2 linked regions of the Neodiprion lecontei genome follow. The protein of the gene in region 2 binds, or shares a complex with, the protein of the main gene of each other region. Links are inferred from orthologs where the notes say so. Each region holds a gene or a part of one and is shown on either strand. Other genes may lie near its edges.

Region 1 (3,336 bases), on a different chromosome or scaffold from region 2:
AGAATTACGATCAGCAGAAGGGAGACAAGAGAGAGATAGAGAGATAAAGAGAGAGAGATGGATGGATGGATGGAGAGTGAGGTGTGTGCTTGCTCCTCCACGCACACGGTGTTCGCATCGTTGCATCATGTGTCGCAGGTGCGAAGAATCGTGAGATGGAAAAAGATCGACTCGTCGAAAAAGCGGGCATTGATTGAACAGAAACTTGTGCAAGGACTCACCGTCGCTTTTCCTTCGGCTTGGTTCGCTTATTGTTAGACTCCATTTCATCGACCTGGCGCATGCCAAAAAACTGAGCGCCCACGTAGAATACCCGACACTCTTAGACACTGCCAAGGAATGCACACGCGTATCCTACTCAACGTGCTCAGGTAATCACACCGATGCGGTATAAATAACACGCTTTAACCACGTCACTGTTTCGGCCCTCACTAACCAACGATCCTGGTAGGAAAATACGGGACGGGGAACTTCGTTGATTCCGACGTGCTCGGTAAACTTGTTAGGGGGATAATTTGACGTCACATGGCCGCCACACGCTGCGTCAACGCCAACGACGGCAGAACCGTCAACTACTTTCTACCTAACCGAATCCGGCGCCAAATTCAAACGGCGTTAACGGGACTTGGAGCGTTGTAACGAATCGGCCCCCCTGCTCTTCGTTTATTCTACATTTGAAACAAAATGTTACTCTCACGGTTTACTCGTATATGCATAAACAGGAATCACACAATTACACATGAATAGCAGCGTTCGTTGGGAAATGTAACAGATGCAGCGCTCCATTTTTCGTTTATTCGTGACATAGCAGTACCATAGAAGAAAAGAAATGATCGCAATTTCACGCAACAGACAACTGTGCGTGTTACAAAAATGCACGTAAGAATGATAGATACAACTATTGAAATTCGGCACACCATATGCTTTCGAACGATTACAACTGGTAGTAAGTGAAAAGAGTTTACTGTTCCTCTACGATAATATTCTACCGCTTTCTACACCAGGGATACAAAACATTGCCGATATTCTAATCTATTGGTTAAGCTTCGATATCTATCGACGGCAAGATGAAATTTTGTACAACTGTTTGATCCACATGCCTCGAAGATATATCGACCAACAGCCGATTGTTTAACGAAGGAATTACTAAATTGGCAGTACATAAAGTAACAATATCTAACGTTGTCAATAATATGTAAATACATCTCTCATTTGGACCCTACCGAGTGTTGCATCTCGTTTTTACTACCACTGCTCGCTTCGATCCCATTCTCATCGCTCTTGCTTTCTCTACTGTCCTTTATCGGATCTTCAGAGTCTTTGCTAACTACCGCCTGACTCTCAGCCTGACCAAGATCGTCGAGGTCGGCTTCCTTGTTTCCGTACAGCGCAGGATACTCGGACATGCAAGTCTGCATGGTTTTGAAAGCGTCGTAGCAATCCGAGCCCTTTGGCTCTGCGGCGGAGTAGTGAAAGCAAGAGAACGCCTCTCTGAATTCAAGACCACAAGGGCCAGTCGCCATTCCACCGAGGCACGGACAGTTCCAGTTTATTTCTCCGTTGGCCAGTATCAAACCGGGACTTGGCTCGGGTTCGGGAAGATTCACTTTACTGGGAGAGGCGTGATCCTCTTTGGAGGCAAATATTATTGTGTCCTTACCCTCTTTTCTAACAATCGACATGACTAAACGACGATTGATTTAACCTTAAATCTATGACTTGAAAAAACTGAACAATACTACCAAATTTACTTAATGAACAAAAGTCCTGCTATCGGCAGCTAGAGATAGAAGATTCGCAGACGCTTTATGAACGGTATAAACGCAAGGCTCCCCTTCGTAGTCACTGGCCAACGTTAAAGCGGCTCTCAGTCTAACGTAGCTGTCGGATTGACAGCGAAGGACGAATCTGCGGTCGCTGACGTTGTACTTGAGTATATCTACTTGCGACTTGGCCCCAACAGCTCCGAATAATTTTTTCACAGCCTGCATAACATGCTTCTTCAAAAATACCGCACTTATCTCACGGTTCGAGTCGTTGGGAAGTTCTCTGTAAACGAAGAGAATAAAAAAAATAGATGTTAAAATGTTTACGATCCCTAGTGAGGTGAACGGAGTTTCTCCTCGCGACCGAGGAGCTGCATTCCGTGTCTTTCTTTATTTTTTTTTTTCCTTAATTCAAGGTTAGATCCCGATCCGGGTTAGGTTAGTACTACGATAACGTGCGAGAAATCAATGGCATACTAACAAAGAGACGTCTAAGTAACGCATGATACACAGTAATAATCGTTGGCCACAATTCACTCACATTGACGGCAGCGTAAATCGTACAACGATTTCGAGGGAAATTTACTATTCCTTGATAATAAACGGCAGAACGAGAAGTTAGCAATAGTTACGGACGCACCCGTATCACCGTCGACCATTCGCCACGCCGGTATGGCCTGCAGGCTGGAATTCTAGAACTTCGGTGTTGCATAACTACGCCGCGTGGTTCAACTTGCCCCCCACAGATGCCGTTTCAACCCGGCAGAGATTGAAACGATCTCGTGTATGCCCGGTTGCGTCGCGTGGTCGTACAGGCGCAAAGCGACCTACGAATTTCACTTCATAATCTGCCGGATCAGGCTCGATGGAAATGGAAATATTAGATTTTAACGGTAGAGAATAGGTACTGTATTCCAGATACGCGAGTGAAATTGCTCGCAAGAAGCAAGGAGCGTGTGCGTCATCGTCAGCCTGAAATAAATCGATGCAAACCATGTCATCCATCCGTACATGCATAACGCCTACTTCGGGTACCCTATCTATGCGATATCGTTATATTTGGGAGACTCCTTATAGCAAGAATACCCTTTAGCGACTGAATTTCCAATGGTTATCTCTGCTGCAGGATCGTACACGGTCATCGCAAGAATGAACCGATTGCACGTACGCGTACGATACGTGGTAACTAACACACTAGCACGGTGCGTATGATTATATAGGTATGTATAACGTGTGTGGTATACACGGCGGGGCGGGCTGAAGCATAGTAAGTTTAAGCCGCTCTGATTGAGGGTCCGCGAAAGGATGAGTGTAAGTAATAGAACGGACGGAGCGACATAACGAGGTCCATATATCTCGGCGCTTATCGGTGAACAAGTTTGCAGAACAATCCCTCGACTTGGTCGGTAGGTAGGTAGGTAGGAAGCTGGTAGGAAGGTTGGGCCGGCTCGGTGACGCAGCGCAACGCGACGCGACGTAACGCGACGCAACGTAGCGCAGCGTTGTTACGGTTTGGTCTGGCAGGCAGCTCCCAATAAATTATGAGCAGATCCACAAAGCGGTCTCGAGG
Region 2 (8,260 bases):
ATATTTTTTTGAAGCACGTACTGAATTATCAGGTACGAATTATAAAAGAATTCAAAGTATCTACAGCTTGATTTATGCAACAAATCAATGTGAACTTTTGTTGTTTGTAAAGGAACTACTCCTCAATCTTCAAGAAACGTGTATCATCGAGATAGAAAGCGATGGCGAACTTAAAATAATATATGCAATTGATGAGGCAGGTTTCCTTCGCCACAAAGTACTTTTGAAATCCTATTGCATTATAAGTAAATTCATTGGTGATACAGCAGTGCTAGAGCAGACAGAATTGTTTTCTAAATTACCGCCTCCTGTGAAATTTGATGTGGAAAAACTTTGCCCCACCATACCCTTACATTCAGAATTAGGAAGATTTCTCCAAGAAAATAAGCCTGGACTCAGAGATAATGGATGGGTGTCACAAGCGAGGAAAGCTCATAAGATTTCTAGTAAAGAACCAATACAAGTAAGCATCAAATTTCAGCAGATAAGAGTTTCTCTTTTTCAGATCTGATGTTAAATTTTTTCAAATATGTTTAGCATTCCGTCGTGATTAATCTACTTGATCAAATGCAAAAGGCAGTTCCTGAATTAGAATTGACAAACCATTTCGAGTGGCCAGTGCATAATGATCACGACACACTGATGCCCCAAGAAGTTTACGGCATTGAATTAACTTTGCTGTACGCAGAACAAAATCGGCTTATGAAAGTTACGTCACTTGCGAAAACAAACTTGAAAATTTTCTTGAAAGAGGTTCACGGATTCATTAAGTATTACGGGTGGAAAAAAAATTTTGAAGGATTCGACTGGTTCATTGCAAGTGTTTTTATTATTTGTAATGGAGATATGGACAGGTGAGCATACGCAATTTTTAATTTTGTTGCCTCAGGTGGCCGCGAATCACGCTTTTCAGAAGTAAAGTTCTGTAACTAATTGCCGCAATTTGTTAAAGACCTTGTACTTTCCATAAAAAGTGACTCTAGCAAACCATATTTCATCATAGGCAGGTCTCAGATTGAAAACTTCACCGTCATTGCAGTAGCTTGAAAGTTACGTGGCTCAGTTTTAATGGATCATCACTGACCTGCCAAAGTTAATGTAAAAATCAAAACCAATTTTACATCACTTTCCTAATGAGTTGTATACTTTTCAAGGTGTAAAACTTTCATCACGCAAATAGTTCAATTCCCATCGATTATGTACATTTGGCCTATGCTAGGGAAAGCTGTGAGTCGTGAACAGAATTTACCTGTAAACTTTCAAACCACATTCTCACATCTCCTGGAAAATATCGTTGCAAATGAATTGCCTAGCATCAAATACGCTTTAAAGGTTTTTGTCTTAACATAGTGGATTTTTCAAAACTCAGACCCGGAATTTTTCTTAAAAATAATATGTGTCTGTCAAATTTCACAGAACAACTGCGGTACAGACTGGTGGATTATTTGTGATGAAATCATATCTCAATGTTTCTGGAGGATACTACCATGGTGCGAAATCATACATTTGCTAACCATTTGTATTTTGTATCCAGCTGACTATCCGTTGTATTACTGTACATCGTTGTTACACTACAGTCAAAACCAACTTTTAGAAGATGTAACGGCTGGAAAAATGTGGCCAGAACATATGGTGCGTAAAATTATTCTCGTAGCTTAAAGCAGCGAGAGTTTTCAAAAATCACAGTAATTTTATCGTACATATGATTTCAATGTTACAGGATTTAACTGACTATCGATCTGGAAATCATTTACAATTGATGGATCTTTTATCGAAACGGTATCGCAATATGACTTTGCCCCTGCTTACATACCAAGAGGCAGCGTTAGTTACATGATTTCCTATCTAATTACCAAGACCGAACTTCTTCCAGAAGTAATAACAAGTACTGCAATAAGCACAATACTTTAATATGACAATCATTTAATTAAGCACAGTGTACGCAGGAAATTACAATAAAATGTATGTTGATTACTGTTACTACTGCATAGTTTTTGCAGGTGATGAGAGTCACTAAACAATTAAAACCAGAATATTTACTTAACGGTGAATAAAAACTATCATCCGTATTCACCATCAATGATGTCCTTTATTTTCTAACAATGTGCATAATTTAGCGTTCGATATTTATATATTTATTGTAATATAAATGCACATAGACTTTGTACGATTGCGAGAAAATGTGACAATTACCCGGGTTTCGGATAAAACACTAACTTCCTGATTCTAAGAGAAATGATATCTACAATATTTTATGTTTCCTAAAGTTTATCTGTCAAATCATTAGAGATCGTACCTTAGTACAGGGTGTAAAATACATACAAGAACTAGATAGCAAGTAACACGAATATTTACAAACAGTGATTCGATGGTAAATGCAACTTCAGTGCCATCAGTCTTCGTGAATGCTAAACAGTTTAGCTACCTCGTTCAGATCGTCGTACCTTGTTCCACTAGCCAAAACCTGGAGAGTTAATTATTCGTTTTATCAGATCCCAAATATATCATGCCCACTGGAAAATGAGCATAGAAATCCATGAAAGTAGTAGCCTACCTGTCGAGCAATGGACATGCGATTGAATATGTTCCACAAGACAATGCCGACTACGACGTCATCGCGTATATAGAATATAACTCCCTTTCCAAAGTCGTCACGGGGCTTCTCTACTTTATTTCCTCCCTCGTCTTCACATGATTTACTGTCTTTTTTGTCACTTTTGACATTCTTTATAGACTCTGCTGACTTCAACCCTTCTACAGGTGCGTGCTTCTGGGATACCGGTGTTGCTTGTATAATTGCTGCCGATTTGTTACCCTGTGAATTGTGCTGCGGGAAGAATATACAATTAAACTAAGAACAGTAAAAATTGCTTACAATCATAATGCAACATGATGTATGATATTTCGAGATAAACCAAAGATAAACCAAACTGCATATTTTCACCTCTTCACTAACTGATCTCAAACCCTCGTTGGATGCAGTGACAGCAGCAAGTGGGGTGTCTTGATCCGTTGCCTTAGCAAAGACCCCTACTGTTGGTAAGGATGCGTCAACGATCCCTATTGCTTCGTAACCAATTTCAGGTCCAAGATCTGACCAGAACATGGACTGATGCAAGTAGGGTTTACCTGAAACAGGACGCAAGTTTATAGATTCATGCTCTACAAGTTAATCGATGAGTACTGCTATTTGATTGGTATAAGTTGCAGTAAACGCTATTTCTGCTGTTATTAAGCATCAAATCTATGGACAAAGAAAACTTAAACTACCAGCGCCAGTCATATTTTCGCCTGCTAATCTTCCAGATATAACAGCGTGATCGTGATGCTCAACTCGCCTTCTGCCCAATCTCACGTCATAGAAACAAGCTGCATCCCCTGCGACCCATAAATCGCTCCTTGCTTCTAATTCAGCATTAACAAGATAACCACCAACTTTTGTGTCAATTTCAAGATTAGAAGATTGAGCTAATTGAGTATTCGCTTGCGCACCAACTGCTACGATTACTTGATCTGCGTCAATCTGTTAATTACAAACACAGAAATTCCCAGTTACAAAAATATAAATCTTTAGTCATTATGCCCTTCATTTTGTAAATTAAGGATTTACTCACTTTGGAACCATCTGTTAAAATTAGTTTCAAGTGCCCACCCTTCATTTCGACATCTGCAACCTCAGTTTCAGGCATACATCTCACTCCTTCGAGCATTGCTTTGGTCGTAGTCCATTCACTCAAGTATTCAGGCAGCACTTGAGCCATTATGTATTTTTCTTTAAAGATCTGATGAACCGTTTTTTGGTCTGGATTTACTGCAAAATTCAAAACTCAGTCACCAGAGCATTTTCACGATACCTGCCAGGATTATTCACACACATTTGAGTCCATTTGAATTTTTTTCCTTTCATTAGATAATCTGTAGCACCAATCAACTAAAAAATGGTTGATAACCGAGTTGTGCAACGAAGGTGCAGAGTAACACTTACAGTTTCTGACCAAAGAACACGCAACTTCGGAACCAAGGAATCCTCCACCAACAATAACTATATTCTGTACTGCTGAATCACGAATGCTCTCCTCTAGCTTGAGGAAGTCTTCTATTGTTCTGAATGGTACGATCTTACTTTTAACTGCATCATCCGCAGTTTCAAATATTGGAAGGTTCTTGGGCGAGGCACCTATAGAATTCATTTTTCATTGAATTAAATATCACGATAGAATACTTAGTATATAGCATTATTTGTTTCGAAAGGTAAACACACCAGTGGCTAATAAACATTTTTCATATTTTATTTTGTGACCATCTTCAAGTACTGCCGTCCTATTAACGACGTCAATTTGACTAACTTTCCATCCTAAAGCTACGCCGATACCTCCTTTATGTGATTGTGCTAATTCTGGAACAGGAGTGTAAAATTCTGGAGGCTCATAGAACAAGCTGGGGAGAAAACGAGTGAGTTATTCAATTGCATGGTAAAAACTGCATTAAAGCTCAGATTATCCACCGGATCATAATATTGTGACTACCTTCGGTCTGACCCGTTCCATTGTTTGAATTTTAATTTCTCTGTAGTCTCTCTGTCTTTGTTATACCAAAGCTCTTTGGACAACGGGGGCCTCATGTAGGGGAGGTCCCCTTCTTCCGTTACAACCAGAACCTAAAGTAATGAATAGTGTGAAATAATCCAATTCTTATGAGAATCTGTAGAATCAACTACCTTTGCTGTGGGATCTCTTGATTTTATAGACCTGAATGCTGAGAAAGCAGCTGTTCCTCCCCCGATCAAGAGGTAAGGAATTTCTGTTACTATTTCTGAAGAGACAGCTGGAATCTTAACTTTCTTTCTCTCTGCTTTTTTCTTCTTCTCTGGGAGAAAGAAATATAAATTGTAGTAACTACTCCGTAGACCAATAATAAAATTTGAGTGGCAGATAAGTACTACACTTTTATCTCTACCTTCTAGTTCAGTAAACTTATTCATTTCATTAAGGCCTAATCATATTTTACTGAGTGATAATAAACTGGCTCATTTTGATATATTATGTGCAATATTAGTTATCACAACTCTAGTCTTACTTTGTTTCGGTATTTGAAGCGTTTCAGATGTTTGCAACCAGCCCATTCGATTCACCTGCAAAAGCATTAAGAATTGTAATTTCTTCAAATAAATATTGCAACTTTACTTCCCTAAAGTGAAAAGTTTCTTTCTCAATATAGTTACCATGTACATGGTGGCTCCAGTGATGAAGAGAGCAGCCAGCAATTGCATCCATACCCGTTGCTGCTTCTTGCGGTTGCCATCCTCCTCGAATGGTTCTGGCCTTTTACCACAATCCCGGTTGGGACTCAAAGGGCATTCAACATTCGGATCGATTGGACAAACAGGATCTGAGGAAAATGATCCCTTCGATTTCGACTGATTTGAAGGAATGCATTCTTCCGCTTTCAATGTAGTGCCAGGTGGTCTGTTAGGATTACCCGGCTTCTTATCACCGGCATCGCTGTAGTTTCGACTGGCATTTATAATACCTGAAATTTTTTATGTGCAAAAAAAAATTAGAAACTAAAATGATGTCTTACTCACGAAATCTACTGAAAATTATATTTGAATTGTAGGTTAACTGAAGTCAAATAATCGCCGCAGGGTGGTTCAAGGTGTAGGGAAATCAGTGAAAAATCTGACACGATACTTAGTTTTCTGAACGAAAGGAGGACAGTTAAAAATATTCGTATTTTCTTTCTGATTATTTGTACAACTTTAGGACTCGCTTATCATCGACTACTAAATGTACGTGTTAAAATCTTCGAATAGTCTAGAAAAACATCACGGTGCCGCATGAGGTTTTCGGAAGTTATTCGATAGACTTTAACTTGACAATCAAATAATTTTTTCGTTTTATACTCACCGATATATTTTAAAGGAATCTGCTCGTAGCTCAGGCATGGTTTTCTTGTAATTTTTGATAAATTCTTGATCGCGTACCCGTATCTTAACATTTTCACAAATTACTTTTGGTGCTACGGGCGCGCGGCCCTAGACTCTAAGGGCAATATGGCGATAATCCCGGTTATAGTTAAATTTTCGATTTGTGCCTCTGATGCCGCCACCTGTGACCAACACGCTAGGAACTAAACATATATTTTTTCGCTCCGCATTTAGACAGCGCTCTGTCTTACCGAGCGGACCTGGACAGAGAATCCTAGAATTTAAAAAACTTGGGGGACATGACGTTAACATTGTTTATAGATTAGATATCGCATTTTATCCCTGCAAGATGTAAAGAATACGATTGAAAACAAATAACGTAATGAACATCGACTAATTCAAGAGATTTATTTATTGGAGTGCTACAGAAACAATTCTTGTTCCAATCGTTTCTCAATACTTTGTCAGTAAAATAGCGGAACATTGTATCCTCGAACGTATCCGAATTTGTGCATCTGTGAAAATAGAAATTAGAGTGACACTTTTATGATTAAAAGGCATAATTTAGGTTGAGATTTCAGGGATGCATTGACATTCGTACAGCTATTATAGTGAATATGAAAAATCCTCCTCCGATCATTAAAGCTCTATTAGACTGCCTCATCTTCGTATCAAACTTCTGTTGCCACGATCCACAGGGAACTGGCAATTCGTCCATTAAACAAGTATTTTCGCACGGCTCAGGACATTGAATTGGTGCATAACAATCTTTCGAGAGCAATACTCTAACTGCCCTCAACTTCCGTGGAAATTGTCCTAAGATATGAAAAATGTGACTTTGTTGACAAAAATATAATTACATATAAAAGAATAGTGATCGATTCTGAGATTTACCCAGTATCATTTTTCTGGAATGAAGAATTCCAATTTTGCAGCATGTAAAAGTTGCGCCACGCCACATCACACGTAAAATGTACGCAGCAACTTTACGTTTACTGTTTACTGAGGCCCACGTGTTAATGTCTTGACCACGTTTAACTCGAGGATCTATATTAGAGGATCTCGTATTATATAGGAACAGACTTTATGGAGATTGAGGGTCGACTTCCCAAGGAAGAGGAAAAATAAATTCAAGGAAAACTACAACGGTCCAAGCTGCCAGACGTTCTCGTACCCATTTTGGGAGAATATAAAAATGAAAATCAACGAGTTGCCACGAGTGAAAGACAAAGGAGTTGCGCAGGTGGGTGTCGTCTGCTTGTCGGCTGCTGCAGGCTGGTGCTGTCAATAAATATTGGCCAACTTCACTTTTCTCCATCAGACTCCAGTCGCCTTCGCTGCACTTCACAGCAGTCACACGAGCCCGCAGCACTCGTAGCAAGCTTCAAAGTTGTAAACAGTATCACAGCTGTTCCGGACGTAATTAACCATTTTTAACTTGTAATTGGTGTTTGTTTCTGAATTCCAGTAAATTAAAAGTGTTTTATACCCATATAGACTGCACCACTATTTCAAATATTTTTCGAACAATCTGCAGTAAAGGTACAATGCCGATGTTACTATAATTTTTACTTTTTTTTCGTTGAATCCTTTCAAGGTGAATGAATCATTTGAACGATGTGTCATTCACCTGCCGATACGCAGTTAGTAGTGATATAGGTACTGCATTAAATTGTGATGGAATTTTCTAGAATAATTTCAATGACGCATCATTATTTCGGTACTTATCTAAAATTTACACTTTTTTTCGTGCTTTTTGATCCCAGTTAAAACTACATCTTATCATGAATGTTATTAAAAATGTAACCTCAAGATTTACTTTTCGTGTTTACAAACAGATCAATACATCCTCATACTTGTTATATACATGGGTTTACAAAGTGTTATCTTTGCCTGCTAAACTTCTGTTGTCCGTGTTACAAAGAAAAAAGAAAAAAGTCGTCAATTCTACATTGATTATTGATTAAGTGATTGCATGTTAATATTCATTGTATTGAAAAATAAATAACAATTTCCATATCTTATTTAAGGAAAATCTTTTCTCTCCCTATTCGTTTAATTCAGAGTAAATCATCATTGTGTTACCATTATTTATACACACTTAAGTTAGTGAATAAATTAAATAAATTTATGCAAACAGTTTTAATGTCTGACCGACAAATTGGAAATAGGAATTAGCGATCACAAGGAACAAAATAAACACTCTGGAAAGTGGCTGTGTGTTTCCATACTGTCTTGCACCAAATGAAGTTCTTTTTATAGATAGCGTCTGACCTCTTTGGCTACAGCTGTTAGAGCATTCAGCTAGTGGTCGAATTTTACTTCAAACCGCGT

The links.
Region 1: the proteins of apoptosis-inducing factor 1, mitochondrial (region 2) and mitochondrial intermembrane space import and assembly protein 40-B are in contact, whole or in part, in a cryo-EM structure (PDB 9GQZ), measured with the Homo sapiens proteins. The link is inferred for Neodiprion lecontei from reciprocal best matches to the Homo sapiens genes AIFM1 and CHCHD4. Residues at the interface, in NP_004199.1 of Homo sapiens: Pro345, Tyr347, Ser500, Ser501, Leu502, Pro503, Thr504, Val505, Gly506, Val507, Phe508, Ala509, Lys510, Glu558, Asp559, Tyr560, Asn602, Ala605, Lys606, Phe608, Asn609, Ile610, His611; in NP_001091972.1 of Homo sapiens: Arg5, Glu7, Lys9, Asp10, Arg11, Ile12, Ile13, Phe14, Val15, Thr16, Lys17, His20, Thr22, Pro23.

Annotation. Positions count from the first base shown.
Region 1 is NC_060266.1:760,323-763,658, reverse strand, and holds mitochondrial intermembrane space import and assembly protein 40-B, read right to left. Parts: upstream 1,683-3,336; coding exon 1,209-1,682; 3' UTR 753-1,208; downstream 1-752. Other genes in the region: ribonuclease P protein subunit p14, read right to left, coding at 1,752-2,049, 2,248-2,270.
Region 2 is NC_060265.1:5,860,574-5,868,833, reverse strand, and holds the start of apoptosis-inducing factor 1, mitochondrial, read right to left. Parts: upstream 6,071-8,260; 5' UTR 5,998-6,070; coding exon 5,907-5,997; intron 5,530-5,906; coding exon 5,222-5,529; intron 5,132-5,221; coding exon 5,077-5,131; intron 4,867-5,076; coding exon 4,718-4,866; intron 4,658-4,717; coding exon 4,527-4,657; intron 4,438-4,526; coding exon 4,262-4,437; intron 4,178-4,261; coding exon 3,986-4,177; intron 3,812-3,985; coding exon 3,615-3,811; intron 3,524-3,614; coding exon 3,271-3,523; intron 3,130-3,270; coding exon 2,945-3,129; intron 2,828-2,944; coding exon 2,555-2,827; intron 2,465-2,554; coding exon 2,393-2,464; 3' UTR 1,838-2,392; coding exon of another isoform or gene 1,721-1,837; 3' UTR 1,633-1,720; coding exon of another isoform or gene 1,417-1,632; 3' UTR 1,333-1,416; coding exon of another isoform or gene 1,155-1,332; 3' UTR 855-1,154; coding exon of another isoform or gene 538-854; 3' UTR 464-537; coding exon of another isoform or gene 113-463; 3' UTR 33-112; coding exon of another isoform or gene 1-32. Other genes in the region: protein broad-minded-like, read left to right, coding at 1-32, 113-463, 538-854, 1,155-1,332, 1,417-1,632, 1,721-1,837; uncharacterized protein LOC107221093, read right to left, coding at 6,391-6,441, 6,528-6,742, 6,821-6,973, 7,101-7,104. UniProt on the Homo sapiens protein: Functions both as NADH oxidoreductase and as regulator of apoptosis.